Drosophila melanogaster: one gene and its partner. The protein of the gene in region 1 interacts with the protein of each later gene in a pairwise test. Each region holds a gene or a part of one and is shown on either strand. Other genes may lie near its edges.

What was found.
Region 2: the proteins of shep (region 1) and rn interact in a two-hybrid assay, tested with the Drosophila melanogaster proteins (one large-scale study listed by BioGRID).

The regions. Positions count from the first base shown.
Region 1 is NT_037436.4:5,268,972-5,284,574, reverse strand, and holds the start of shep (alan shepard), read left to right. Parts: upstream 1-6,630; 5' UTR 6,631-6,961; intron 6,962-8,211; 5' UTR 8,212-8,252; coding exon 8,253-8,420; intron 8,421-11,240; exon of another isoform or gene 11,241-13,235; intron 13,236-15,603.
Region 2 is NT_033777.3:7,301,485-7,316,772, reverse strand, and holds the start of rn (rotund), read left to right. Parts: upstream 1-7,143; 5' UTR 7,144-7,743; intron 7,744-8,297; 5' UTR 8,298-8,445; coding exon 8,446-8,916; intron 8,917-11,818; coding exon of another isoform or gene 11,819-12,181; intron 12,182-14,539; exon of another isoform or gene 14,540-14,600; coding exon of another isoform or gene 14,601-15,014; intron 15,015-15,288. Other genes in the region: CG10029 (uncharacterized protein), read left to right, coding at 1-166, 271-940; CG42544 (uncharacterized protein), read right to left, coding at 11,819-12,181. UniProt on the Drosophila melanogaster protein: Transcription factor involved in imaginal disks development. Isoform rn is required in the wings, antenna, haltere, proboscis and legs disks, while isoform roe is required in the eye disk.

The DNA of each region.
Region 1 (15,603 bases):
GACATCGTCTTTAATTAGTCCAGCAAACTACAAGTTTTTAAACCCATCTAAGCCGAGCTTTCGTTTAACTTGTAATCTTTAATTACGTTAACTACAGAACAAAACGGCTTTGTCACTGGAACTAACAAAGCTGACAACTAAAATGGCCAAGGGTAGGGCAGCTTTAAATTACACGAATGTCCTGTCAAAAATACTTAGCACCGACTAACAAGGACTATATATATATGGGAGCTTTGAGGTCAGAATGAAATTGCCAGAGACAGCTGTAAATAAAGTGGGTAGCATGAAAGACACCACCGTTTTAAAGTGCCATTATTTATTGAGTACATCGAGGCCTGTAACTTCGTCCTTTCTTTTTCAATCCAGAACTTCCTTGGCTTTTTTTCTTTTTGCCTTTGGTTTTCATTATTCGGAGCGTTTTCGGCGCATGGAACATTTGCTGCCCAGCCAAGCGAAACACTCGGAATGCTGGAGAGCTGGGGTTCCATGAAGATTTCGGGGACCGTAGTTAGTTTCTTGCCTCCTTCCAGGTGACTGTGGGCAATGTCCTGTGGCGCATGATAAACGCAGTTAGGCCCTTTTTAAATATATATACATATATATATATATACACGAACAGCCCCCGAAACGCTTGGCTTCAAGTGGCCAGTGATATATATTCCGGTATAGCCATTTTTTGTTTGATAAATTTAATAAATCAAGTGATTGTTTTGGCTGGAAATGCAATCGTTTGTACATAATAGATGGCATTTTATTTATTGCCCTGCCCGCCGGCTAATGAATGCTTATTAATAACCCGATTAGGGTGAAAGCAAAGCGGATTGGATTTAGGTCCACATAGAACAAAATAAATATCAATAGATTTACGCATTTATATAGCAAAATAGTTAAAAAGGATAAAACCAATCGTAATGAGTTATATTGTTAAAAAGATTTCCAAAGCTACAATCCTGTAATAATAATTTAATGAGTCATTTATTCTGTTAATAAACACATTTCTTAATGTGGTTTACTATTTTTTTTCTGTGTACAAAAGTCATCTAGCTCATATTCAAGATCTACTCAAATGAATTCCCAATCAAATTAGGTCTAATCGAATCAGCCAGTAGGCAATCGCTGGTTCCCAGTCACTGTTCTAGGATAATTTAATTTTAGCCCAAGAAAGAAAATAATATACGAACACCGCCAAGGATAAATTTTCCTTGTTTTTTTGGAAGTGATGTCCTGAAAAGGGTTTTACCAGCCAACAAGGAAAAGGCACTATCCTTTACCGATTGCGAGCGGAAAATGTGAGTCCGAATCTGTTTTCTGTTCGCACAGATGTTTACGCGGTTTAAAGCTCGTTAGCGCCCCCGGAAAATGGAGGGGGGGAGGGGTGTGGTTTTTGGGTTTATGCAGAGGGTTGTGGTTCGCCGGCTGAAACATTTTGCGGGGTCTACAGCCCGGCAATTTGGAGTCATTGCGGCCTCGGACTTGAGAGATAATAGAACTACGACCGCAAATATTGCCTACAAAAGTGGGTTGAAGAAGAAGTAAATGGGTAGATAAAGGGAGGTTTGTTTGCCCAGCATTGTGGCAAAAAGGATTAATACCAAAGCAGATTAGATTGTCAAAATGCGACAGCTTGCCGCCGCTGCGTGGGAAATTTCCTACTCACCACTTTTTTTTCCCATCCAATGGGATTTTGACCAAAACCGAAAACTGTAACAGAGTTATCAACATTTTGACAGCTTCAATTGCGGAAGAACAACAGAATTATGCCAAAAACAATAAGCCGATTTCAGGGCGAACTAGCTAGAATTAAGTACTTAAAAATTGCAGATTTCGCAAACGAAAGTCAGAACTTTAATTTAATGCCATTTATGTACATCAGTAATAAGCTTAGATGGTTTATTTAAGTTGTGAATTAGTTGTTAAATATGAATGAGTTAGAATGATTAGCCCAATGATACGAACAATTATACATCATAACTGAATGCTATAATATATTAAGGCTGTGACCCTTTTTGCTATTATTTAACAGGCAAAATACTTCATCGTAGCTTAATGAAGTTTAAAGTTAGTTTATAAGCCTTTCCCTTTAAGCCAGTTGAGTATCTTTTGGCCCACACATTTTGCAGATCAATCACTCACCCAAAATGCTGTGATTTTTCCCAACTTTGGACAGGAGTCTGGCAGCATCCACTAATGAAGTTGGTCTTCAAGGAGCTAAAAAACAATTTGTATACCAAAAATGGCAACAACGCCTTTAGGAAGTTTTTTTTATTAAGCTATCAATCAGTCTGCAAAAACTTTTAAACAGTAGAAACCTTTAAGAGAAGGACAAACCAGAAAAAAAATCAGATATATTTTTTATAATATACATAATCAATAAAAATTACAACAAATGTTTCCCTCTTATCCGCATAGCCATAAATATTTGTGAGTATTTTTCAAAATTCCTAATCATAATCAACATTTGCAGCTTTAACAACAAAATTATGATCGGCAGATACGATGCCAAAGAACCATTTTCATTTGCCGCCTAATGGATTTTCCGGGGACCGACGAGTGGCTGCAGCACTGGGGCCGGAAAAGTGGGCGTGGTATTCCCCTGACATAGAGTTAAGGAAAGGAAAGGAAAGGAAAGGAAAGCCGCAGATGCCGCCGCAGCATGTGTGTGCGTTTGAGCGCCTTGCCACTTTCAGTTAATTCCCTTCACTTGGTCGTAAACTTTACGCATTCACTGTAATCAAATTTTATGAAATGCTCAGACCCAGTTGTCTTCGTTTTTGGCTCTTTTGTTCAAAGGGGATATTCACTGTGGCCATGTGTGTATGTGGATGGTGCACTTTAATGTTTGTACTATGGTTTTCGGATGGCTGAAGCTCTGTGTTTGCGGCCTTTGAGTGAAAATTTTGCGGCATAGATAATTAAATAATAAATTGTTGTAATGTCTACATTTGCGCCCTTCGACTGTTGCATTTGGCTGAAAGATCATAAATGATTTATATGCACATTGAATGCGTCGACAATAGATTTAATTTAACGATGTCTTGGCGACGATGATGGCGATAATGATGATGCCGGCGACGCCGCCATTTTGGCTTTGCTCCACCATGGCTTTCCCGCTTTTCCGCCTTTTCCCTAGGATTCTCCCCACACACACACACACACACACACACACCCGTCGAGGTAATTACGCGGAAATGGTTGAGCAGGAGGAAGGGAAATGGGCCAGCCAACATCAATATTCTTCCTTCATTCGCATATTAAATCTATGTCATTTTATATAAATTAATTTCACCAATGACATTCAATGTCTGCTCGGTCGAAAATGGATTATGAACGTAATATATTGCAAATATGGGGATGTTCTTTGATGTGTATTTGTGAACATATTAATGTGGTATCGACAACCAAAGCGAAGAACATCGATGGTGGCATTTAATTTGGAAATAAGGATGGGGATTGTTTTCTTGTATAATTATGTGTGTAATAATACCAGTTTGTCGTGGATTTTTAAAGTGAATAACAAGTTGTATAAGTGATAAATCATATTTTATATGATATCCTCGTTTTTTTCCCCACCTCCTGCGTAGGAAAACCTTGAACTGAGATGCTAGCCATTCATGGCCGAGCAATTACCGACTGCAGTTTGATTGAATTTAAATTCTCGAGCTCGCCTTGAGCACTCCTTATCTGAAAGTCAGTCGTGTCCTGTGACAACCTCTGCCTCTGCCTGCGCACATTTCTCTCCTTGGGCGAGTCATAAATTATCCTTAGATCACGCGCCAACAAAAGCGTTTCGTACACTTCACTTGCTCTGGTTCTGTAGTTTTCCCTATTGTTTTTTTCTGTTTTTTTTTGGTCCTTACGCAGTGACCTATACAATGCATTCCATTGGGAAACTAGTGGTTGTAGTTCCTGGCCTGTAGACCCTTAGATTCCATGATTCTATCGTTTTTTTTTTTATTTTTTAACTAGCTTGAATTCCTGGCAGTCACATGCCGACAGAGGCGCAGCGCCAAGATGATGGAAACAGCTGACATTTCACTTTCTTGATGCGATTACGCAGCGAGGAGTGCCCACTGCACCCCATCGCCTCCACTTGCTTTGCCACCCCCTCACTCGCCGCTTTTCCGGCCTTTTCGCCCACACTGCAAATTGCTTACGGTCACGTAGCAGCGTTGCCCCCGCCCCCCTCCCCTATGGCTCGCTTCCCCCGAAAGCCCTTACTTCTCCTTTTTGCTGCTGTTGCGCGACAAGAATTTTTTCGCTTCAAGCGGTGGCCAAGAAACTCTACACTGAGCAAAAATGTGTCTACATTGTATCAATGTGGATCATATATAAAGTATGTGTTTTTTTGTTTTGCAAATAGCCCAAATAAATTAATGTTCTTACTTCATAAAATAAAAAACAATAAAACTGAAAGACGGGTAAGTTAACTTATTAATTTTCTGACATTTAAATTTACTAAACAAAAATATTTTTTAAGCCACATCCTAAAAAATATCAATAATTTTCCTACCAACGCAAGCTGAAAAACTATGTATGAAAGGCAGGCAGGCAGTGTAGGAAAAAATGGGTTTTGGAGTGGGCAACAAAAGGAAAATGGTGCCAAACTTAATGAAAATACCAACGCGTCGTCATTTTGGCCGCAGAGAGGCTGTTGCCACGCCCCCTCCCCCCCTCCACCGATCCGCTGGCAACTTTCCACCCCCCAAGCCCATCCATCTTGCATGCCATTTTCCCGTTCTACCAATATGTTATTTTTCATGCGTTTTAGACGAAAGTGTTTCAGCCCACTGTGCGTGAGATACTGTCTTCTTTTTTTTTACTATCTGCCCCATCTTTCGATTTATTGGCGTTTTTTGATTTCTTGGCCCATTTTTCAGATACAGTAGTTTCTCTATTGTTGTCTAGAAAGATTTCATTTAAAGGTTGTAGTTAATTATTGCAGGGACAAACAATAATATAATAAAGTACAATTTTTTTTCAAAATTTTGGATGTCCAAATTATTAGGTATACATATTTATTTAACTTTCTTTACCAGTTTTCACTGTTTTAAAATTCGTTGATTTCTTGCTTCATTTTTGTTGTATATTGTTTTTCTGCCGCTGCTGCTTTGGAAAATTTGCATATCTCGATAGTGTCAGTAAATTTGCATATTTAAGATAAATTTAAATTCCTTGCATGTTTTGTTGTATTAACATTTTTTTTTTGTTCCATCCAATTTCATTTCGAGTATTGTCCTTTCTGTCTGCTCCTGATGCTGCTTCTTGTTTGTTGGTCCTGGCCCATTCTTCAAATTTTGTCGTTGCTATTGCAAATTTATTGTTTGTAGGCTTATGGGGCGGTGGGAGTGGCAGTACAGGCTGTCTTCATATATGTATTTATACTTGGAGATGTTACAGTCGCGAGTCAAGTAATTAGATATAAAAGCTTAATTGTAAAAAAAAGTTGTTATCTATTGAAATGTATCAAGCTGGATAAAAATAAAATATATATATATATTTAAAATCAAAGTCGCCGTAAAAGTTTAAATGTTTATATTTTTTCGCCCGCTGCTGTCTGAGTGGTTGGGTTTTATGTGGGCAGTGGGCGTGGCAGTGCTTTACAATGCGTGGGAGTCGCTCTCATTTCGATTTTTTCAGTTTTAACCCCCTATCTGCTTATTTTTCGTTGTCGTCATCATGCATCATTTGTTTAGTCCCTTAGTCCTTTGTTATGTGCCAAAAGCTATGGGGCGGTGGGTGGTGGTTGGTGAAAAGCGGGCGGAAGGACGTGTGGTGTGTGTCGCCCTTTTATGCGACGCACTTGTTGAGAATATTAATTTTATTTAAATATTTCAAAATAACACACTAGATGCTGTTGCTGGCTTTACAGTTTTTGGTGCACACGTTTTTATTTTATTTTTTTTTTTATTTTGCGCCATTTGCGTAATGAACTGATATAATGGGATTGGGAAAACTGACAACCATGTGTATCAAATTTGAAAAAGGAAAGTTATATAAACTTAGCACTGAAAATAGGCTTTTAAAATGGTGATTTTAATTGGTTAAATCGGATCTTTATTTTTGATTAGTGACGAAATGTAATGACGAAAACTTTGTATGCAATGCATATTTTCGAATATTTACAATGTTATTTCGATTTTTTAATTAATAATCTTGAATTTTATTCCAGAAAATAAAAAAAATATAATGCATGAAATTAATAAAATTGTTATAAATAATACAGTAGAAACCCGAAAGAGTTTCGTTAAACAGCAAAGCGCAAGCTAATAAGAGGCAATAAGAAGAGAAATTTTCTAAGAGAGTACAATTTGAAGAGAAGAAATATATACAGTAGCGGAAAAAGGAGTATGTACACAGAATATATTTGCTACACGGCCACATATCCAACCCGAAGTTAAAGTTCTTGTGCTATTTTATTAAGACCTTTATTATTATGCTACTCGCCGCTGAAAATTCTTTTTTACACAATGTTTAAACTACATAGAGTAAAAGAAAATATTTAATATTATGAGTCGCACCTAGACTATTTTCCGCTACTGTAGATTGCTGTAAATTAAGCGAGAGAGCGAAGAGAGCATTGCCGGCAGAAAAGGAAGAAGAAGAAGCTCATACCATTGCCGATTGCTGTCGCGTTGCGCTTTCTTCGTTTTTTTCGGCTGCGCAAACTTATATTTTGTCGTTGTAATATTTTGCATAAATATATAAATTAAAACGCGTGACGGAACAACAAACAAATAACGAAGACAGCAAAATAAAAGGGCGAAAAATCGAAACGAAAACGAGTCGAATTACTTTCAAGTGCAAATAGTGTGCGTGGGCGTGAGATTGTGTGTGTGTGTTGTGTTTGTGCGACTGTGAGTGCGTGTGTTTGTGTGCAAAAAAAAAACAGAACGTGCAACAAGAAGCAAGAAGAAGAGCCATCAGCAGCTGACAAACCAGCAATAAAACGAAATTTCAATAAGTAAGCAACATTTAGGCAAAGCTAAAATCCAAAAGCAAATCGAACAAGAGGAAAAACTACCTTTGGAAGCCCCGCAAAGCAGACGTAACAATGGCAAAAGCAACAAATTTGCGGCTCTCAGCTAATTGAAAGCGAATGTTGTTGTTTTAGAGCAATGCACTCGATAAAAAATACATAAAGCAATGGCATAAAAATACAAAAATAAGAACGGCACAGCACAGCAGACGAAAAACAATAATACAACTGGGAAAAACGAAAAAGTCAAATGAGAGAAAGAGAGAGAGAGCAATAATTATTTAAATCTTATCGCAGTGCAAATTTATTTTTCACCTTTTGCTTTGCTCACTTGTTGTTTGCCGGTGCTCTTTCCACCCGCTCTTTGTTCTCTCTCTCTCTACTCTCTTTCTCTTGTGCACTGCGCTCTCCTTCTCTATTTTGCTGTCATTGTCCTTAAATAAGCAATAACAAAAAATAGCAACAACAACAAGTGCAATTGATAAAAAGCAATAGCGTAAAAACAATTGAATAATTTCCTCCGCATATCAATAAATTATTGTGTGTTCCTGTGTGTTTGTGGCTGTCTGGCGGCATATAAATAAATTTGCAAACCAAAAAAAATTGGCTGGCCTGTGCTGTGTGCTATTTTTAATGCCAAAATGCAAATGTTGCAACTGCCGCGCGGGAAAGAGACAGAAACAGTGCTAAAATAACTCGCTGAATGCTCCGTTGCAAGTAAAAAAAACAATTTAAGACGGGTGGTGCTAATAATAATCAACAAAGTTGCTAGTGAAATATTAATAACAAATTATAAGCACGGCAAAATAAGCTGAATATGGCACAGAATGCTAAAAAGAAGCAATAAAAATAGAGAGTGGGAGAGAGAAAGAAGAGTGCAGAGAACAGTGTTGCCGTGCGGCAGTCAGAGCAAACGGGTTGGGCTGTAAAAAAGTGGTAGAAAAATAGACGAAAAGTTTAATTAGCAGAAAAAATACTGACCTCATTTTATACATTAAAATATATAATCTTTGTTTTATTATTTAATAATAATAATGATTTAATTAATTACAAACAAACTGTCATAATTAATTTAGGTTGAGCAGTTGATCTGTATAAAAAATGGGGTCTAGTTAAGACTGTATCTCCAATTAATGCAAATGTTTATATCTGCAACGTCTTAAGATTATAGAATATTTACAATTATGACTCATTCTTTCTAATCTGCATTATCTCATTTACTCCCCTTTTCGCAGTCACAAGTCAATTTAAGAGTGCTATTAAGAAACTAGAAAAAATGCACCCACGATACAGCCCAGCCCCGCCCCCTCAGCAACAGCAACAGATGGGCGGACCGCCACACCAGCAGCAGGGCGGCGGGGGAGGTGGAGGCGTTAGCATGAGGGGGCCATCGAATGCCCAGCAATTGCCGCCGCAGATTCCGAGATCCCAGAACTATTCAAACGTAAGTCAAATACATATTGCATCTTTATAATACAGACAATATTAGAATATCTATTATTTAACTGAAGTGTACAGTTTTACGAAAATGATTTAAGTCTTAAAACGTAGAAAGTCACCATTACCCCTTCGAAACTCGAAAGCAATTCGAAATAGCCTGTTAAAAAAAAAGTGTTGGGCAAACATTTAAGCAATCAGAGATCAACAAAGGCATCAATCAATCAATAGCTTCGTGCATCAATCAAGCAATCAAACGGCTCACTCGGTCGCACTCTCGCCAGTCAGTCATTCAGTCAGTCACACAGTCACTCACTCAATCGCTCATTCAAATCGGACTCAGGCTGATGATTTTTGATTCTGATGCTTCTTTCCACATAGAAGGCGCCATTTTTGCCTTGCGGCCGATAGGGGGCGCCACTGCAATCGACATGTGTCATACGCAGCGTCCTTTAAATCCGGGAAATGCGGGACGAAAATGGGTGAAAAATCACGGGGGAAAAACTGTGGGAATCGAGAAACCAGAGGGAACCGAGTACGCATTTGAGTGGAAAATTGCTCTCGCTGATGCGGCTGCCACGGCCTGGCAATGATATGGATTTCTTCTAACCATTTTCCCCATCAATTTCCTGACAGTTGCAGTGCAGGCAGTCTAATCTCTCGATGAGAGAATCGGGCCAATAGTGCCACATTATCCTTATACCTGAAAAATCATTACTGGCCAGCAAAGAAAGGAGCATTTTAGCTGGATTTCCTTTTTGCTAATTTCAATGGTATTACACGTTTTAAGGGGGTGTAATGTTTTGTGCATTGTGTAATTTCCATCATAATTTATGCATTTGCTTTCTAAGCATCAGCAACGCACAAAAAAAAAATGAAAAAAATGGAAAAAAAAATGTAAAGCATGAAATGGAAATCGCACAAAGGCAACATTTGTAAGTAGTACCCTTCGTCCTTCCTCAACTGACGAAATCCGGTTTACCTGCGTGTTATACGAATGCACAGCAAACGATATGGTAAAATTTGTTAAGGGATCTTTATATACGATCTTATCTATCAATAAAAAGTTAAAATAAAAAACAAATCTAATTAATAAACCATAATATCTACGATATAGTATATTTACTACACCGGTTTTTCCAATTTCTCTTGGTGTATATGTTGTATATATGTTTGCCATATAATAAACTATTCAAAGCTTCTGCGGCATAATACTAAGAGATGGGGGCGGTGTGTGGTACGAATCTGGGGCTGATGTTGCTCGTTTGCTGCGTTTTTAGGTAGCCCAATCCAATCCCCTCACCAGACTCCTTGCAATCCCTCCAGGTGTGCTCGCTTTGTAGGCAACATCTATTTGGCATCCTCTAATGGCCAACAGGCGTTGCTTTGGCTTTTTTTCACGGGAACGTTCTTTCATTTAAACAGCTTTCAACTTACGGCAGCAACAACAACACGCTGGCGGACCACATGAAAATAAAAATTCTGGGAAAAAGAAAAACTTGTTGTTGAGGGTGGTGAAAATACGGCAAAAATTGTAAACATTCGCGCTTAGTCAGCGCCTCAGTCGACGTCAGTTATTGTGGCTGGAATGAAAATTATATTTCGCATTTTGTGTCCTACACAGGAAAATGAAGAAAGGAAAGTAAATAAATAAAAGAGAAAACGGGCAAGTTGCTGAAGTTTATGGAGTTAAGAGAAGATATATATATATATATATATATTTAAAATTACTTTGGACCGCACTTTGTGATGAAAATGGGCGCGTTTTTATGGCTAAAAATTGTATATGTCAAGTTTGGAGAGAGTTTTGGATATTAAATTTTCAAAAAGTTTGAGTGGCCAAACAAAATCATTTCTTTATGACTTTTACTGTAGCTAAAACTGCAAGTGCAAGAGGATGTCAGAATCTAGGAAAACTCCGTTATCGCACTTTCCAGCTTTAGGATTTTTCTTTTTATAATTCTGATTGAAATTCCCATTTTGTTCATTATTTACATATTTTCAGCTCTTTCAAAGTTGAATCTGTGCATTCCCATTTTCCAACTGTCATTTAAACTAATCCGTTTGATAAACTAGAAGCTACAGAAAACGAAATATTTCCCTTCGGCATTCTCCGACTTGTCAGTCTAAGTTCTTATTTCCCACTTCAGTAATTAGGAAATTAAATACTTTCCTGCAGAGTCCAAAAGGAAATATCATTTACACTCTTTTGATTCGTTTTTCCTACCCCAGTTTTGGATTTTACCTGAATAATTTGTTATCCCTGCCCTTCTCATACCCGCGTATAATTTTCTCTTTGGCATTTTCTATTTGAGTTTCGTAGCCGAAAATGTTTCGAGAAAGAACTTTACAGTGTTTGAGTTTGTGCGCTAAAAAGTTTGTGCAACACAAAATATTTATATTTCTTATATAAAAAAAGTTTTGTGAGCTTGGTCACGTAGTAATTTGTGATTAAATTCAATGTTGACAATTGCAAGAGCAGGCCGAAGTTGTTAAGGTAATTGCGACCATATAGGCTGGGATGCATTTCAATTGAGCAAGCTCCTGCTGACCAGACGGCAATGATGGGGATATATGTTACTCCAACTCCGACTGAAATTGCAGTGCTGAATGGCATACGAAACGCCTTTGAGTTCTGCGCCTGCGTCGGCTTGTGGATCCTGTTGCTGGAAAACAATTTTGCCGGCTCCCCAATGCATTTGAGGACACGAAGTCGGGAAAACCGAAGCTGGAAAGCCGAAACGAATCTGCCAGGCTGAGCTGAGGCCTTACTCAAAAACCTTACTCAATGAGAAATTCAGAATCCATTCGACGATTGTCAAGTTCAGTTACAAACGCCTTTTCCTCATTTTGCGCACCACAAAAGCGGAAAGCGACCACAGAGCCCCAAGCACACTGAGATTGCCGGAGACAACCAACAGCCAAGTCTGAAGCCAAAATCGAATCGAAGTCCTAATCGAATATCAAATTCAAGCCCAAAACCAAATCCTACTATTAACAAATAGCCAATAGCGAGGAGTTCACGAAGGAGTCCTGCAAACACATCCTTTCAACACAGTGCAAGCTCGCCATTTTGTGTTTTTTCGAAATAGAAAAAGTTTTTAAAAGCCATACCGCAAGATTCTGCATTAAATATATACATACATATATTTATATTTCCATTTTTCCGTGCGTATACGTAATCTGCGTCGAAGTCAGTTCATTCTGTCCATGATTTACAAATATATTTATACATAATTAGCCACTGAGAGAACCGCGAAGTGTAAAGTGCAAGTGAAGTTCAGTATTATTTACAAGGCGTGAAAATCGAAAAAGTTTACACCAAATATTCTGCTCAAGAACTCACTACTCAAAGTAGTCCAAGGATTCCAGTCTCTCAGCGCAACAATTGTCAGCGAAAATTCCTACGAATCTTAGCCAACTAAGAACTCTAATTAAAGTCAGACGAAAGCACAACTACAAAGGGTTAAAAACTCTGAAAGTAAGAAAGAAATTAACTAAATATTAAAGGAATCTTCGAAGTGAACACCAAAGCAAAGATCTACAGTATTATTTTGAATAAGAAATATATAAAACACACTCTAAGCGATAAATAGAGACAATAAAGTTGAAATAAAAAAAACCAAATTAAATTTGTGACTCTAGCCTAAAAGTAAACACATAAACCCTAGCTTAATTGTGAGTGAAAAAGATTTAGCAAATTGCCATTAAAAAAAAAAAAGAAAACCAAAAATTAGTTGAAAAAGCTTAGCTTGAATAAAACAAATAAAAAAAACGAAAATAATTGTGTCTATCGATGTGTGTGCTTAAGTAACTGCAAATCAAGTAAATAAAATTTCAACTTAAATAAGTGTTCAGTGTTTAGCCAATATAAAATCGCATAGCAAACTAGTCAATGTTCTTCATAATAAGAAATCAATAGGAAAACTTCAAAACAAAGGCCCAGATAGTCGCAAATAATAAGGCGGAAAAAAAAAACCGACGCAAGCCCAGGAAATCAATTTACAATCAAACCTGCTCACCATTAGCCATTAAAATTGCGTCAATCAAGAGAAAAACCTCGCCATTGCCCGCAGCAACATCGAAGCTAGCCAATTTCAGCCAACAGGACCCACAGCAGGAGCAGGAGCAAAAGTCCGGCGAATTTAAGGCAGCAGCTGTCAGCCAATTGGTGGCAACAGTTGTCCAGACAACAACAACATCCGTAGCAGCAGCAGCAGCAGCGGCGGCAGGAGCAGCAACAGTAGCAGCAGCAGCAACAGTAGCAGCAACATCGAAAGGAGCAACATCCGCAGGAGCAACACAGCCAGCCGCTAAATATCCTAAGGCCAGCTCCTTGAGCCAGCAGCAGCAAACACCACCACCACCGCCGCCGCCGCCACCAGCAACAACAACAACAACACCACCACCACCACAGGAAGCCGCAGCGGCAGCAACAACAACAAGTGTTGCCGGGACAACAGGAACAGCAGTCGCAGCAAAGGCTAGCAAAACCACAAGCAGAACAAGCAGCAGCAGCAGCAGCAGCAGCGACAGCAGCAACATAAACAGCAGCAGCAAAAGCGGCAACAGCAGCAGCGGCAGCAGCAGCAGCAGTAACTGCAACAGCAACACCTGCAACAGCAGCAGCAACACCACCAGCACCACCACGACGCTGTACACGTGCTCCAGCACCTCCTCGTCGCTGATTGCCCAGCCGCCGCCAACAAAGATATTTAAGACGGATCACCATCTGTGCGCCGCCTACGGACTGCCGACCGCCACCGCCGCCGCTGCTGTTGGTGGGCATCCCTGCGTCTACTGCGTGATACCTGTGCCCGTGGTGAGTGTCCTTTGCGTGGGTCCGAGGTCCTTCAGAAAAAATCCTGTGTCTGTTAATATGCCATACTCTGGAAATTTAATTTAAATTATACAATTTGGGAATATACCTCTTGATGGAATTGAGTTTGAGTATTTATAAGAAATTTGTTGTTTAGGAGTGGCTTAATATTAATAACTTGAATTCATAACATTTAAACTAAGCTAACATTTAGCTCCAACTTTTTTGTGAGTGTGTCATTAGCATAGGCTCCTTTTGATTTTTTAGAGTCATTAAATATTGAAATAATTACGTTGTGTGGGGCCGCGGACTTGCGCTGGTATCTTCAATGCTCCATGGCCGTCGTCAATTTGCTTATCTTGCCCGATGATTATCCTGTTCCTGGCTGCGTGTCGCGTACCAGTTGGTTTCTCATTACCATTTATTATCCTCCGCTGAGGAGTGGAATTAATTTGTACTAGCAAAAAAAAAAATGCTTATATTTTCAAGTTGAAAAGAATTTTGAGCCGGCTTTGTTTTGGGGTAATCCAGGAATCGCATGAGTGGTTCACGCTGAAGAAGTTTTGAAAGGGAAATGAGTTTTTTGCTGAAGGGAATTTGTTTAACTTTTTATGACACCACAAAAAAAAAATCACATTATATTTAAATATTTTCTTAAAAGTTAGTCCATGTATAATGTATAGATTGTTGAGATTTTACCGACATAAATTACACAACTAGAAATTATACAGCTACCGCTTAAATAGAGACACTAACGGAAGACCTTATCTTGGGGAAAATAGCAAAAGTCTGAGTTGGGTAACCACCAACCCCTGGAAACCACCATAACCACCCACCAGCGAAACCACAGAGCCACTTCAAGACCCCCTTTTCCGCCCGCTGCCATTAGCAGCGTCAGCTGTTTGTCCACTTAAAGAATGCCCAGATAATCGAGGCAACAAATGTGCCTAATGTCAATGACAATAAAGACAAATTATACAAATATTTGACTAACTGACTTTGCTCACTCACTGACTGCCTGCCTAACTGACTGACTGACTGACTGACGAACTGGAATGATAATGACACCCATTGTTCGTGTGTAGAACAAGGAAAATTTCATTAAAAATCCCCACAAGCAAATGGACAAACCATTGGCCTCAAGAGGGTAGCAAAGTGGAAAACTGCCTTGGCCAGCACATTTTCAATAATTACAACGAAAATCAAGCCCAATGACCGCAAATAAATCTGAAATAATAATGATTATTAGCCTGTGTGTTTGTTTGGTCAGATGGATGTATGGGGCTTTTCCGAGGGCTGTTCGAGCATTCATAAAGCCACAAAAATGTTTTCAATTACAAATAACCATGGAGAGAGTGAAGAAAGTCCAAAGGAAAGCAACGATAAGTTCAGCAGCGGGAAAAAATGCAACTGAAAAATCTTTCCATATTATTCATTCATTTTCATTGTTGTTTGAAGGGGCGAGGTCTCTCCTCATTGTCCATTGCCAAGAGTGAAAAATGTTTTTCTCTTATTATTTCTATTTATTTTTTTATTTATTTTTTTGTTGAGTCTTCATTCTTTAGCTCCCTCTTGGGTTTTGCCATTTTTTCCTTGTACTTTTAGGGCTCAGGCGAACGAGATTTATGTAAGGCACTGTCTGAGCTCAGTGCCTTTTCTTTCTTTTCTGCTCATTTTGTTGATTCCTAATTAATTTTACTCGAAGTGAAAATGAATTGGCAAAATGCCCGGCAGACACAAAACTAAGTACAAGAAGAAAAAAAAAAAAGAAGGAAACCAAAGGGAAAATCCTTCAGTTAAAATATGTGATTTTCTTAAACATTTTGTAACTGCAATTTCTGTTTTCCTTGTGCTCCTTTCAATGTAATTGCTTGTAGAATGCTTAACATTCTCAGGTAATTTACTAAATCTTCATTGCATCTTTGTATAAAATATTTAACAAAATACAATTCAGTTTTGTATTGTATAATTTACAAAATCTTCAGTGCATCTTTGTATAAAATCTTTAACAAAATACAATTCAGTTTTGTATTATGCAAATTCAAATTGTTGTATCGGCATGTAAAGTTAGCATTTATGGATCACTTTCAAGCAACTTATACGATCTTAATGGCTAGCACCGCAATAATACCTTAATTTTTTCTGCTGCCGTGCTAAGTGGGCAGATGGCCACGCCCACCGCGCGAAAATTCACTCATGAGCTGCGTGTTGCTTTGACTGTTGCTGCTACTTTCAAGGACCTTTGAGTGGTGGCGTTTCACATGGCGTATGCGTGACATCGCCACATAGAAGGCGCGCCTATGAATATGCATTATTATTTTCTATATGCGACGGAGTCCAGTGAAGTGCAGCTAATTAGCAACTGACATAC
Region 2 (15,288 bases), on another chromosome or scaffold:
TCGTGGAAAAGGAGCTATCAGATCCAATCAAAGAGTTCCATAACATTGATGACCTTAAAAACGTGGATGTTGGGTATGGAATAGTCATTGGTTATTTCATTTCCAAGGATCATGCTGAGTATGATAACTATCGCAGGGTAGCGAGCCTTTTGCGCAACGATTGTAGGTAAGTTTAATGTATCCATTGAACAACTCATAATCGATCAATATCTGTAAAACAATTTGTGGAGCTTTTGTAAACAAATCTATTAAATATATATCTAATTACAGGTTCCTTGTGGGCTTTGGTGACTTGACTAAGGACCTCCGACCGCCAGGAAAGAACGCGTTGATCTTCCGAGGCGATCCATCGATTCCGAATCACAAAAACCAGTACAGTGAGTACTTGGGCAACATGACCAGCTTTAAAGAACTAACCTTTTGGATCGATAAGACGTGTGTGCCCCTGGTGCGAGAGGTCACCTTCGATAATGCAGAGGAACTATCGGAGGAAGGATTACCATTTGTATTGCTATTTTACAACAAGGACGATCTAAGTCCCATCCAGGAGTTCAAGAACGCAATTCAAAGCCAGATGGAAAATGAGACGAGGGTTATTTTCCTGACTGCCGAAGGAGAAGTCTTTAAGCACCCACTTTTCCATTTGGGAAAGTCCCCGAGTGATTTGCCAGTGATCGCAATCGATTCCTTCATGCACATGTACCTATTTCCACGCTTCCAGGACATTTACGATCCAGGTGCCCTCAAAAAGTTCATTGATGACCTGTTCAGCGGTGCACTGCATTATAATTACCATGTGGCCCAGCAGGCTAAGGAAGATTTGGAGTCCATTATCGATCCAACTGAAGACCTGCCAGTCGTTCACGAGTCCAAGTTTAAGGACCTCAAGCCATCCAAGCACCGTTACACGTTGGTCAACCGCACAAGGGACGAGCTATAATATTATCCTACTCTACCATAATCTTTGCTCATGCTTAGGTGTAATCATTTAATATCGGTTTAAGTCAGATTCTTAAACGTAAGAATATTAATTTATTTAACTTGACGCTCAAATAAAATTAATTTGATATCAGTTGTGGTGTTATCTTGAGCAAATAATATGGTATAATATCCCCCATCGGATACAATCCGTTCTCCGACTATGAAGTAAAATATTTTCACAAGCCCATCGCCGACTTCACCAGCATTGAATGCCCCATTTTGGACGCTGTGACAAATCGCACACCCATCATATATGGGCATCTCATCAGATAGTCAGGAGATGACACGTGCCTCGATATCGATATTTCCTGGAAGATCGCCTCAATCCAGAACAGGAACGTCGATTTCATTTGAATATGCTTTGCCGACTGCTCTACACCAGACCATATAAACACTAATAAACTCATTAGTCAAGCATCTTACAAGCAAATCTCACAGGTGCAAAATGCCAATACAATAAAATTGCAGTTCTCTTTGCAATCTAAGTACAGTGAAGTGGAAACAGGACAATTTTGTATATCTTTGAAACTTAAAATATCAGTAAAAATATCAATAAAAATATAAATATATTTTTTTTAACAACAAGTATTTAAAAATGTTGACCGTACCGAACCGATGTATTCTTTAAACTACTAAAAATTTAACGACATAAATTCCAATTGATTTATTATTAAAAGATAAAGTGCACAATTTGCATTTTCGTTGACAGCTTACCACATGTATTCTAACATCTGATCGCATCACAATGTTAAATTCTCGAGGGAGTATCGCGTCCTTCCTTTTCAGGGTCTAGGCTTGGTGCTTACACTTCTACTCCAATATTGTCATAATTAATAATATCTTTATGGTCATATGCCAGCGCAAAATCGAGCGTGACTCGCGATGAAGTATCTGCCACAGCGGCGAGTGCAGCTGCAGGTGCAACTGCCTCTAATCAGCGTCAGCAGCGCGTGCCACTCGCGTTGTCACCTGCACAATTATAGAATTTTCCATAGTCGGGCAGTGCTGGCCACCAAAATGGCCTGTTCCCAAAAATGGTGTCCGCCAAGAGTCCGCGCGAAGTGTCCGCCATAAATAACTGCCAATAAATGTCAACGGTTTTGGCGCATTAACATAACAGCTACGCCGAATTCGTTGACAGGTTACTGCTTTTTCATCGAGCGCAAGACCTACCTGGGCAGCATCTTCCATCCATCCATCTACTGGCATCATTATTTCTCGGGCTAAAATTGAAATAATCGCCTTTTAATCGCCTACGCCTTGACGGGCTGACTTGGCTCCAATTACCGCTGCAATCGTTAACTCTTCTGGCTGACAGCCAAGTTGGACATGAGCCCCTTCAATTGCCACTGGGATCATCAGGCCGATCGACAATAGTCGCGGAAGTCACGTGCGGAAGTTTTCCAACTTTCTCAGTTACAATGTTGGCCGACAAACATGCGAGTTCCGAATTAAAGCTGGAAAAACTTCCGTTTACAAATTACCTGTTGTCTTATTTTTTTGGAAATTAACCTAGTTTTAAAAAAAATTTTATTTAGATCTTTTTTCCGTTATTAAGATGAAGGCATGAACTGGTACTTAGTACTCATTTATATTTATGAGAAAAAGATTATAGTACGTTTGCTAAGATGGATGTTACGGGTAGCAAAGACCGTTTTCGACCTTATTCCTTATTCTTAGCTAGGTCCACTAGCCGAGTCCTATTAACAATGGCCGTCCGTATAAGATCAATATATTTATGATTCAACAAGCAGATTCTGTAAATGCCTGAGAGCGATTATGGGGTATACATACAATTAAATCGATTTTTAATAAAAATATATAGAGTAGCTGCTGACTTAAATACTCCTTATTCCTTCCTTTTAAGTTCGGAAAGATAGCTATAAAATTCATATACCAATATCCTTTTTTCAGCTGTAATAAAGCGAACGAAAATATTTAAAAAATATTTTATATTTTGTGCTTGATGTTCCCGCACTCGAAAATACGATAAATTCCCAAAGCTCAGTGAGACCCAGCTGACAATTACAATAGCAATTTGCCGTGGTCAAATGTGTGATATTTCAATTTAAACTTAACGGCGCAAGTCATTAAACGGCAGATACAACATGTACTGCAATCGGAGGGAAACAAGATGCCGCAAAAAGCGCAAATGTCGCAAAAGACGGCAAAAATCGACAGCAAAAGCAGAAATATCGGTGGCAGCCGCCATTTGAGAGAGCTCAACATATTCAAAGTTGTGCACGAGCGCGATTCCAATTTCATTTTGTGCTCGGCGACAGGGCAAAAACCATTTGCGCAGCAACAAATGAAGAAAAAACACAAACAAAACGTTTTTGTTTAATTAAATTAACAAAATACGCGTCGGATGAGCGGCTAAAAAAACTCGGTTATTTTGCACGCAGACCAACACGCCAACACGTGTTGCAGAATTGGCCCACAGATAGAGAGAGTGTGGCCAAAAGAGAGCCAATGTCAATGACTGGCTTTAAGCCTACTCTTAAGCCCTATTCTGTCCCACTTCCACTCGGCAGCCAAGTGACTCCGTCTCACTCGAGCCACCATTCAGTTGGTGGCCACTCACTCGCTCTCCATGCGAACATAGCTCATGCGCCCTGTTGTCTCGCTCTGCGGCACTCGGCCAACCCGTTCTGGCCAATCGGCAAAAAGCGGTTGAAAAACAGGCGGAGCCTCTCCGGACCCCCGATGCAACTTGGTCGGGAGCCCTCAGCCCCGAGCCCTGATCCCCGTCCAGAGGCCCAAAGCCTGGCCATAAGCCACATGCAAACCCTGCCCCTGCGCCATTGCAGCTGTCGGGAGAGTCTGTCAACCATTTGGCGTCCATGACCAAGCATGACGGCTATCTGGGCCCTGTTTGTGGTGCCACTGCTTCTGCCACTATCTCATCTCGAGTTCTGGCTTTCTGGCTGGCATTTTGACATTTCGCTCGGAGGCTTCTGGAAGCGGTGGCGCCGCACTGCAGCATCTGCAGCCACATCAGTTATCTGTTCCGCTGCGGTTTGCGGCGATAAATGTGCGCCATCATGCAACTGACTAACTGCGGACTTTGCATTGCGTTGCGGCACTGCGGTTCTGTTTCCAGATCGTGCAACTGTGTTATCCAAAGAAGTTATCCTGAACATAAAAATATGGAAAACAAAATTGTAGTATATTTCAAAAGAAATTTGAGATTTGTAAACGAAATGGGAGCTCCTTGGATAAGAAAATACATCAACTTGAAAAGACATCAAAATGTAAAATATGTTGCTTCTGCGTTTGGATACCTCGGAATTATATAAACAAGGAATGTTTTTAATAAATAATGTTTTAAATAAACAAGTATTTAAAAATTGATGTAACAGTTTTTAGTACATTCATTTAAAACAAGCTTGACGTTATAATCGAGCTTCTCGGCTATCAAATTCCCGCCACTCAGCTGGCGGAAGCGCGAGGGAAAAACTTTTCAAACTTCTTTTGAAATCTCGTAAGAAATTGAAAGGAAGAATAATAAAATAATATAATAATAATATATTTTACAAAAGTCTGGCTCGGATGGTTTGCGGGCGTTAAATGTTTTTGGCATGAAATAACATGTATTAAAATAAAAAAAAAAAAAACAGAACAATTTTCAAAAGAGTGTCGTTAGCTTTTGTGGGCGTTTGTGGATTGGGATGATCAACGGTCAAAAACCATCTTGCACTACGTAGAATCTACCTGACTAATCTCAACTTCTAAGCCTTAATTATATATATAAGAATATATATATTTATACCTGTTATATACTACTATGCCCGTTTACTCTACATGTAACGGGTATAAATACGTAATAATTTAAATGCAATTTTGTATTATATATGTACGTTTGGTATAATATGTCGTTATGTTGTCTTTATTTAAATACTATCTCATCGTTGTTGGCTGAAGGTATTTAAAAGGCGCGATCTATTATTTTACATGACACTTTGGCTTGGATTTGTTATTAAAAACATTAAAAACGTTTGCGTGAAAAATTATTTAAAAATAACTTAACAAACTTTATTCAAAAATTTTGTCAAATACCTAGATTACAAATAGCGTACTTTGATTTAAAATCTAATAAATAATTAGGATTTACCGATTTAATATATATTATACAATAAAATTTGTTATTTTTTCGTTTCTTAAAAACACATAAACTTTTTATTTTTCTTTTTTGATCATTTTCCAAGTGCTAAAAGTTATCTGAATCCATCGGTCAAAATGGCTGGTCGTCTGCAAATACAAAGTGGCATTGATGACAGTGCAAACAAGAGCGGCGACAGTCGAAATGCGATAAGGAAATTTGTGCTGCACTCAAATAAATGAAAAGCGGCACGGAAAGCGCATAAAATGGCAGCCGACAAATGGAAGACCATAAAAAATATGCAATTGCGGCGGGCGAGCCATATTAGCAGGTGAAATAATCAAATTAGCTGATAAACCGAACGGGAAACTGCTGGACATTAGGTTCCCAGTCGGTCGGAAAAACCACGATGGCTAAACGCAGCCATTTCCCAGTGATTTGAGTGAGGAAAGGCCAGCTACATCGTTGCCGTTGGGATCAAACATAGCTGCAATACTGCTCTACTGGTGCAGTACTGCAATTCTCAGTCCCCAGGTGGATGTGCCAATTGCATTGATTAACTAAATAAACGCGCAGCACTTGCATTTTAATTTCATTTATTTTGACCTTTTTCCCCGAGGAATGGCAGTTGCAGTTGTCACAGCCGAAATGCGCTGCCATTTTCCCACCCGCTGGCGACACATGTCCGTACCCATAAAAAATGCCTTGTCAGGAGTAAAAAAAAAAAAAAAACTTAAGAAAAATTAACAAAAAATATAAAACGGCAAGCACAAGCAAAAAGATGCCAGTCAAGGGGCGAGCAGTGAAAAAAGAAATAAACCAAGTGCTCCAATAAAAATTCCACCGCCTTCACCCTCGTGTCGACCTGCTCTCACACTCACACCCTCTCTTTCACGCTCGCACTCTCTCTTTTTTGCCCGCTTTTATGGTTTTTTTTTTGTTTTAAGAGCGCATCGCCGCTTTTGCCCTGCTTGCTCTTGAGCTTGGCCAACGCTGCGTATGAGTGGAATTTTTTCAGTGCCGCCGAATCATCGCTTCGCTTGAAATGAATATGTGTGATTATTAGCCGCAAAAAAGCGTGTTTCGTTTTTGCCACTGACTTTGGTAGTTTTTGCGGATTTTTAATTTGAATATTACATGTATTAAAAACTCATTACTACGCGTGGTTCGCCATCGAAGTTGGTCAATGGGCTAATGGTCTGCGGATGTGATTTTTTGTCATTTCAGCGTTTGTCTCTTGCGCAAAATTATGCATTTGGGATCGGAACGAATGTATGCTCCTATCTTCATTTTGGGTGTGGAATTTGCATTATAAAAATTTAAAAAAGGAAAATTTTAAACGTAAATAAATCAAGTTTCATTTGTACATGGTGGCAGAGGAGAGACGTAGAAATTGCAGACTAAGTAACTACATTTTTTACAAGACAATAAATAAAATAATAAAACGTTATTAAGCAATTAAATGGAAACCACTTTCCTGATAACACTTTTGATTAACCCGTCTTCGGTGGCGGACTTGAACCTTCATTGCTCGTCACCTAAACGCCCCCGTGTTTTACCATAAAGATTGAGCTATAAAAACGGAGTGCCGCATTAACCGTTCGCCGCGCAACGAGCAGCGTGCAACGTGCAGCATGCAACTCGCAATATGCTCATTCATGCTCAAAGTCAAGAGAAAAGAAAAGCCACTCAGGCAAAAAGCCCGAAATCAAATCAAAGTTGCTCAAGAGACCCGGTAGCAAAAAGCGAGCTGCAGGAAAAACCACAAACAATTTTTTCCATCGCCCCGAAGAGAGAGGGAGAGAGGCCGCGTGAGAGAGGGAGAGAGCGAGCGAACCACTTTTTGCCACTGCTTTTGGAGCAAAAGGAGTAAAAAGCTGTTGCGCAGGCGTCGCCGTCTGCCCCAAAGCCGTGCCAGCCACGAGTGCGAGAGAGAGACCGGGCGAGTGGAGCGACAGAGAGGGCAGCTATGCTGCGATTTGGCGGCGAGTGCGAGGCATTTGAATGTTTTTTTCGTGGCCGCACTCAGCATTCGAGTTCGGAATTCTTGCGAGCTGGCAGCTACTTTTTGCGCTGCTCGCTGCTGCCGCTTCTGCTGAGCCAAAGCCATAGGCAAAGTCCAAGCCAGGCTAAGCCAAACTAAACCTGGCCCAAACGGCCGGCCACTCGGCCACTGTCCACCAGTTGGCCACTTTCGCGCGCGTTCCAGCCAAGTGCACTCCTCAGTCTGCACTCTCCGTTCTGCAGTCCGCAGTCTGCAGTCTTTTTTGCCCGCGTCTCCCAATCCGCGAAGAATTCTGTCGCAAAGTGCAATGCATTTTCGCCATTCCGCAAGTGCAGCTGCTCCCCCAGCTCGCGGTATCATAATTAAAAATCGAGCCGAGTGAACTCGCAAATTGTTATCACCACACGTCGTCGTCGTCTGAGTCGGTAAAAAACAAGCCAGGCCCTCGAAAGGGTCGAAATTGGTCAAGTGTCAATGCGATCGAGGCCGTAATAAACGTGTTTCAGTGCTCCCCTGAATAGTTATTGTGATCCGCTGATCAGCTGAGTGAATGCAAGTGAACGAATATATTGAGGAGTATCCACTTACTACACGCGATAATTGCGAGAATTTCCACGAGCCACTCTGAGGAGTAGATATCGAATGGGGTTAGAAAGTAATGAAGTCATTCTATAAGTCCCAGCAGCAGCAGCAAGAAAAGACTAGCCTAATAAAATATTTATTTTAGGCCATTTTGCGGAATTAAGTTTTAAGATACTTGTTAACAATAATTTGATAAACTAGTTACAAAATTATACAAACACAAGTTAAACTGTTCCAAAAAGTATATATATTAAATATATTTAAAGCTTCCGCCTAAATCGATAATATATTATATATTTCCATATGTCCCTATAGTAAAATTATAGTTCGGTGATGATTAATAACAAAATTTACTTCAAATGGAAATATACCGTTTTTATTTTGTAAACTGAAACCATAAATTTTTCGTTTATTATGTAAACATTCCATAATTAAAAATTTTTTAAAATTATTTATGAAATCAAATCGGTTGCAACTCATTGCTCACATCACGATTCTGCTTAAATATTATTTACCTAGGTAATCCCAGCTTTCTTTTCTATTGGGTTCAGTACACTCCCGATTCAGGGATAGACGAAAGTAGTTGCTTTCTAACCACATGACTCTTTCCCTACTATTCGCATCTAGCTCGATTTCCCAAAAAGTGAACAAAACAACAAAACTAAACTAAATAGCGCGTTATTTAATTGAAACGTAAAATAGATATTCCGAGCGAACCCCCAAGTGGAACTAATTAGAATAACGCCCTGAACAACCGCCAATCGAAGGTGCTTAAATGATTATGCATGGTACCTGGTACAAGGGACCTCAGTTGGCGCACCATCCTCACTCGAATCCGCATAACAGTTCGCACGGCCACAGTGACTACCACCAGTTCCGCTCGTACCCCTCGTTCGTTGTAACGCCCTACCACGATGGCCATGTCCAGGGCCCGGCCACGCCCACTCCATGCACGGCCCCGCCAACGCCCTGCAACGGTCCAGTTCCAGTTTCAGTTCCAGTTTCGATTCCCGTCTGCCACACCGGCGGCCAAGGTTCGCCAGTAATTGTCGAGAGCTCATTTGCAATCGCCGCCGCCGCCGCTGCAGCGGCTGCTGCCGTCGCCGTCGGAGGATCCAGTGCCACGCCCCTGCTGCCCAGTCCGCCCATCAAGATCGAGCAGGTCTTTGGCGAGCCCTCTTCGCTTGGAGCCGTCGTTGAGGATTACGCGCTGGGACTAGATTGCCCCGTGGAACACACGTTTCGAGTAAGCGCACTAAAAAGTTTACAATATTATGAAAATATATTATATGAATACGACCTGGTATTATTTTATTTAATAAACACTATTAAGTACTTTAATTTGAATGCAACGGAAACTTTTATCTAGCTGATAAAATAAAACATTTACGTTGTTTTTATTGTATAGGCATTAATGATACTGATACAACCGTTTCTTTAATTATCATTTGTTAGTATGAGAGCTTGTATTCTTGGGCAAACGTTAAATCTGCTTGCCAAATTAGGAAATCTTCTAGCTTTTGAGATCTCAGACCGTTTACATAATCGAAAACACAGATAGATAATAATGATCCTAATGATACATCTTCGATTGAATAATAAATCGTTTTTTTAAGTAGAAGTAAGCTCTAATTCTACTGAAGAAGTGCAAAATTTGTGTAAGGTCATTACTCCTGAACATGGATAAATTTACCTACCCAAAACTAACTTCTTTGAATTTAGTGACATGAATATCGAATAATAATTTTTTTTAAGTTTTACTCATTTTGTATCCACTTTTAAGATATTGGTAGCCATTTGATAAATGTTTTCTTTTATTAAATAAATGAACACTTTAGGCGTTATTTAATAAAAAAAAAATAGTTAAAAGAAATCAAAGCTCATATTTTTAATCCTCACCGTTGGTTGCCATGCTTTAGCCATCCGACTGCCGTTTCCTAGCCAATTTTATAGCAGTGTATGGATAATGTTATTATGTCAAATTACTGGTTAGCATCCCCATTGGAGCAGCTGCTGCACTTGTTTGGCTCGACTCTCACCACCGAAAGTGGGCGTGCTCCAAATCAATTTCCATAAAATCATCCAATAACACTTAAAAGCCAGGCAGGGCAAAAAGCCGACAAACACAAGTGGCAGGCGAGTAAAAAACAGGAAAACAAACACGCCCCCAACTCGAAGAGCGTCAGTGAAAGAGCTCTCTCTTTCTCTCTTCGGGGAAAGCAAGAGCACCGCAAAACGGAGAGATCTCTTGTTTCGAGTGGGTTTTAATGGTAAAACGCTCAAGCTTTTGCGTCGCTTTTTCAGACGGTCCAAAGGACACTTTTTGTCGGCTTGGTTCGTGCACAGGATATCCCATAATTGCCTGGCTTACAAAGCTTTTCGCAGTCTAATGCAGATTGACTGATGGCTTCAAGTGGATGAAAGGAAATTAATGCAAATCAACAGGTGGTCCTGTGAAGTTTAAGGACATATGTCAGCCTGTGGAATAAAATATGTAATTCGAGGAATTCAAAATATGATTGATTTTTTTAATTGAATAGCAAATAATATCTTAAAAATTTTAAGTTCTCAAAATTTCTTATATTTCGTTATAAATTGATGGATTCTTATATGCGTTTCTCGTGTGCAGAAATTCCGAGAAATACATTTCAATTACCCGAAAGAAACCATTTTTTTTTTCAAACCTTTTTTGAGCTTTTAATGCATCTTAAAGGGCAAAACCATTTCCTTCTGCTGCTGGCGATGCAAAATGGACGCACGTTCCTTACGCTTATCAGGACATTTCGCCCTCATAGCCAAGCCCATGTGTATATGTGTGTGCGTGAATGCCAGCAAAGGGCAGCTGGAAATCCTTGAACATAAAAAGAAAACAAGCCAAGCATCCAGCACATGCACATAAAAACATATGCTCCTGGACAGGATTTAGTTTGGGGACGCCATCCGACGCCTTGCACTTTTTCCGACGCCGACTGCGACGCAGGCTGCGCTGCAAATGCAACTCCTCCATGCTGATACTGCCTCATTTTAAAGGGTCCTGATACTGCACCCTCGTACTTCTTATAAGCAAATCGGCTTAGACGAGCGTTTGCTAGAAAGTCTATCTCAATATAGATTAAAGGTCTTCCAGAATATATATATAATTATGGTGGAACAATGGCTTAAGAAATTGATACAATCCAATTGAGGTTGAAATGATACAAGAACATTTTTTATTTTAATTAAAAATTACATAAGTATTAGAACAATTATAAGTAGATAATAATTCATAGAAAACACAAGTCTTTTGTCCATATGGTGTCAATAACATATTTTTAAGCTTTATTGATTACTTCTATCAAGGTTCCTAGAACTAAAAAAGTTCTTAATAAGATTTGATCTCCTACTTTTCCACATCGATCTATAAGTAACTTTTAATTTACTCTTTGATCTACTTGGATCAAACAAGATGAATATTATTCAATGGATTTCCCTGCCGCACAGATGAAACTTAACTTGAGGGGGAAAATTGCAGCGGAAAATAGAAAATCATTCAGAGAAATTGCACAGCAAGCGGTAACAAACAAACAACGGGCTTCAGCTGAGCTGGGGAAAACTAGTAAGAAAAAGGGAAATAATATAAACAAAATGAAGGAAAGAAATTGGCGCTCGTGAAATGTTAACAGGGCCAGGAGGGCGCTGAGTTGAGCAGTGGCAGTGGCAGCAGAAGGATATATATCCGCAGTCATCCTCGAGCAGCGACGCCGACAGAGGCAGCGACGCCGACTGTGAAGCTGGCAGCGCTGAATGTTTTTATCCTTTCTTCGATGTGTCGTCGCGGCATATTGCTCTGCTCGTATCTGTGTGTGTGTGTGTGTCTGCGTGTGTAGCAGTGTGTTTGTGCCAGGACATCACACGGTTTCGCTTTTCTTTTACAACTTTTTGTTATTATTTCGTTTTTTGCTCGACGCCTGTAATGTATTTCTTTCAGTTTGCTGGCGTTTTTTTTTTGCTTCATGTGCAAGAAAAAAATAAGCTTTTACTTGGCTTTTTTATGTCCGAGTGTGTGTATGTGTGCGTGTTTGTTACTGCTGCTTTTCCGAGCTCTACTTCTTGAGTTTCCTTTTCGCGCGCGCCATTTCGCTGCTGCTTTCCACAGCTCCTGCTGCTACTTACCCGTACAACAAACATGGCCATAAGTCGCCGGAGCTCGCTTCCGCTCTGTCTGTTTTCCTTTTTCCACCAGTCGCCGGCTCTGCCGCAGTCGCAGTCTCGGCCGGCGTCTCAGCCGCAGTCGGCGTCGCAGTAGCTGCGATTGTTGCATGTGGTCCTGGGTTTGTTGCCTTTGGCGGGCTGCAACTCTCGTTGTCTTCAGTTCGCTTGGGCTTGGCCAAATCTATTGGTCGCGGTGCCGCGCTCACGCTCGCGTCCGTGTCCGTGTCCACATCCGCATCCGCATCCGCATCCGCGTCCGTAACCGTGTCCTTTTGCGGCCGAGAGTTGCGGCCACCGCACGCGAGATGGCGCCGCATCATGACGAGGGCTGAAAAACTCCAATTAGGATAACCGGGCTGGTGTCGGGGATGAATTTGTACATATTTAAAATCTACTGACATCCAGAGTATTAAGGACAAGGACGTGACATAAACGACTCTACCCCTTTCTTCTATTATCGATATTTGGTTATGTCCCAAGAACTCCCTGAGCTATATCAATAATATCTGATCACTATAATAAAGAACTAAAGATCCTTTTCAGCTTATTATGCTTATCTTCAACTAATAAAATAAATCAGAACTCTTATCATAGCTGATCCCAGAAGGACATGTAATAAATAATTGAAACTTCTGTTCTCTTTACGTGCTTACCAGCATATCAAAAGTACCACTATATTTTAAAAAGTTCTTAGAGTCAGAGTGAATTATACTTTAGTTTTTGGCAGGTAGATTTGGATATTGCTAACATTCGAGCACCGTCAAATATGAAAATATGCCAAACGTTGTTATTCTTGTCTACGCCTACAGCAAGCACGTCTTTTTGAAGAAAAACAGGCACACAGGACCTATTATAGGATGTGCAGCACACACACATATAAGCGCCGCTTGAAGACATCGAGGCGAAATCAAAATAATAAAAATCACAAACATGAGCAAACCGTATAAAAGAAACCCAATCTGCCGGAGCTCACCGTTTTCCCCCGATCTGCCGCATGTCGCGCAAATTCAGCTTTATTTTCTATTTTTCCCCATTTTTCGCTTTTCTTACAAGAAAATGCTGCAGTGCGCGCTGAAACTGCAAATGTATGTCTTTATAACGGGCAGTGTGCATATAAAAAGAAGAGAGAAGGGGGGAATTATAAAATGAAAAAGGGGCAGAAATAACAAAAACTGCAGCAGGAGGAAGGTTGAGAGGAGCAACAAAACAGTCACAACACACAAGAGTCTCAGTTAACGCACACACACACCATATTCCTTCATGTTTTGTGTGTGTGTGTGTGTGTGTGTGTGTGTGAGTGTATGTGTGTGGACTTTTGTATGTATAAAACATTCGCGCGCGCTCGCCATTTTCTTTTGCCCTGAGCTGCTGCACTTTGGCTTCCAGTTGGGCTCCTCAGTTGTTGCAGGTTATCCCACGCTCGCTGACGGACGGAGACGTAGACGGACTCACGGACAAGACATCCGGACAGGCGGACAGCCGGACGGGCAGGAGCCAACACAAGCTCACCCGGGAGACCAACTAGCAAGCACTCACTCTCAAATCTTTTCTTATCAGCATGAAATGAGGAAAATTGCGGTACATAGTTAGCTGCAGCTTTAAGCCCCGTATGCGTAATATGAACACCGGTCAACGAGGCGTATACACAATACCAAAGCAGTGCCAACACCAGGATGTCATTGAACACCACAATGGCATTGAATAAAGTTCCTTTTTATGTGAAAAAGTAAAAAAAGATAAGCCATGTTAACGCGAAGCTAAATAAAGGATTTTACGAATAAAGATCCTCAACGAAAGTGCAAAAATAAGGATAAATCATGTAAACTCCGAAAATTGTAAAATTCAACTGCAACGCAAAGTTCCTATCACCCAGTGCAAACTACATTTAGTATACAAGTGAATTATATTCACATTTCGCTTTTAACAAATAAAATAATCTACTTAGTATTTCAAATAAATAAATAAAATATTTATCAATCGAAAAATAATCTCTTAAATAATTGATGAGAAATTAAATTCACAATAAATATGCTGGAAAACGCGAATAAAAACTCACCACTAGACGACTAACTTAACCCACCTAGTGGAAAACGCAACAAACAAAACAAAACCTAAACTCCAGCCACAGAATGAAACAATCATAGATGAAAAGTAAACAAAACTCCACAGCTGAGCAAATAAATCAAAACGCAGAGACAATGAGAACCGACAAAGTGTTTACTAAACAATAAACAAAACATCAAACTGAAAAAAAACAAATTGGTCAGCATATGCAAAAAAAAAAAGAATTGCTACAGATGTCCATCACGAGCAGCACAACCATAAAATCAAAAAAAAAAATGTTCCAAAAATAGCAAACTGGCAGCCAGCAAAACTTTTCAAGGTCGTCGCTGGCAAGTTTCTGGTGGCAAATCATTTCTATTTGTTTCAATTTAGTGCGCATCTAAAAAAGAGCGGGGAAAAGTTTCTAAAGTGCACTCCGCCCCAGCCATCTAAAATGAAATAAAAGTTAAGCCAAAATAAAAAGACATCAGATTTGGTTGCAAAATTTTTGTTTGCTGTTGTTCCGCCCCCTTTTTTCAGCGTGAAATGATTGTGTGTGTGGAAAATCAAGCAAACTGTGCCTCAGTTAGATACATTACTGTAAGCGGGGGCTTTCCCGTTTGAAAGTGAAATTGTCGAGCTGGAGGAGTAAAAAAAAGGGCTGCCTACATCTGGGCTCCACCGAAGTTGGTTGTCATGCACGAACTCATTGGCAAATACAGCCATTCGGACATGGACATGCTGAAGGATCAGCTGAAGCGTGGGGGCTACATGGGCGCCCTTGGTCCGCCCACGCCCGGCACATCCGCCCCCTCGCCCTTCCTGATGCCCGCCGAATTCTACAAAAGCCTGCTCGCCAGCGCCGTTCTGCAACAGCAACAGCAGCACAAGTTCTACGCCGGCACGCCCTCACCCAGTCCCGCCCCCAGTTTGTCACCCACCTCAGGTCGCCACTTGCTGTTTTCCACGGCAGCTGCGGCAACCGCTTGTGCTCCGGAGAATGGTCACGTGAAGACGGAGCTCGAAGAGCAGGACCAGCAGAACGGGATGCCGGAAACCGTCGGACATGAGGAGCAGAAACCCATCATCGAAGAGAACCCAACGCCGAATGTTAGTATGGGAATATGTGTGGAAGTAAATGAGGGGTCATAAATGGGATTTCAAGGGTTTTAATTTTGATTATTTTGGGATGCAGATAAGTACAAATAAAACAAGGCTTTCCTGTGTCGGCCCTTCCTTCATGTGCACACGAAGTAACCCTTAAATAAAAGTCCTTGCCCCACAATTAGAACTTAATTGTCGCATGAGACTAAATGTTTCTATCAGTACTAGTTAAACGACATGATACGGTCACTTGAGAAGTAATTAAGAGCTCAAAAGTATT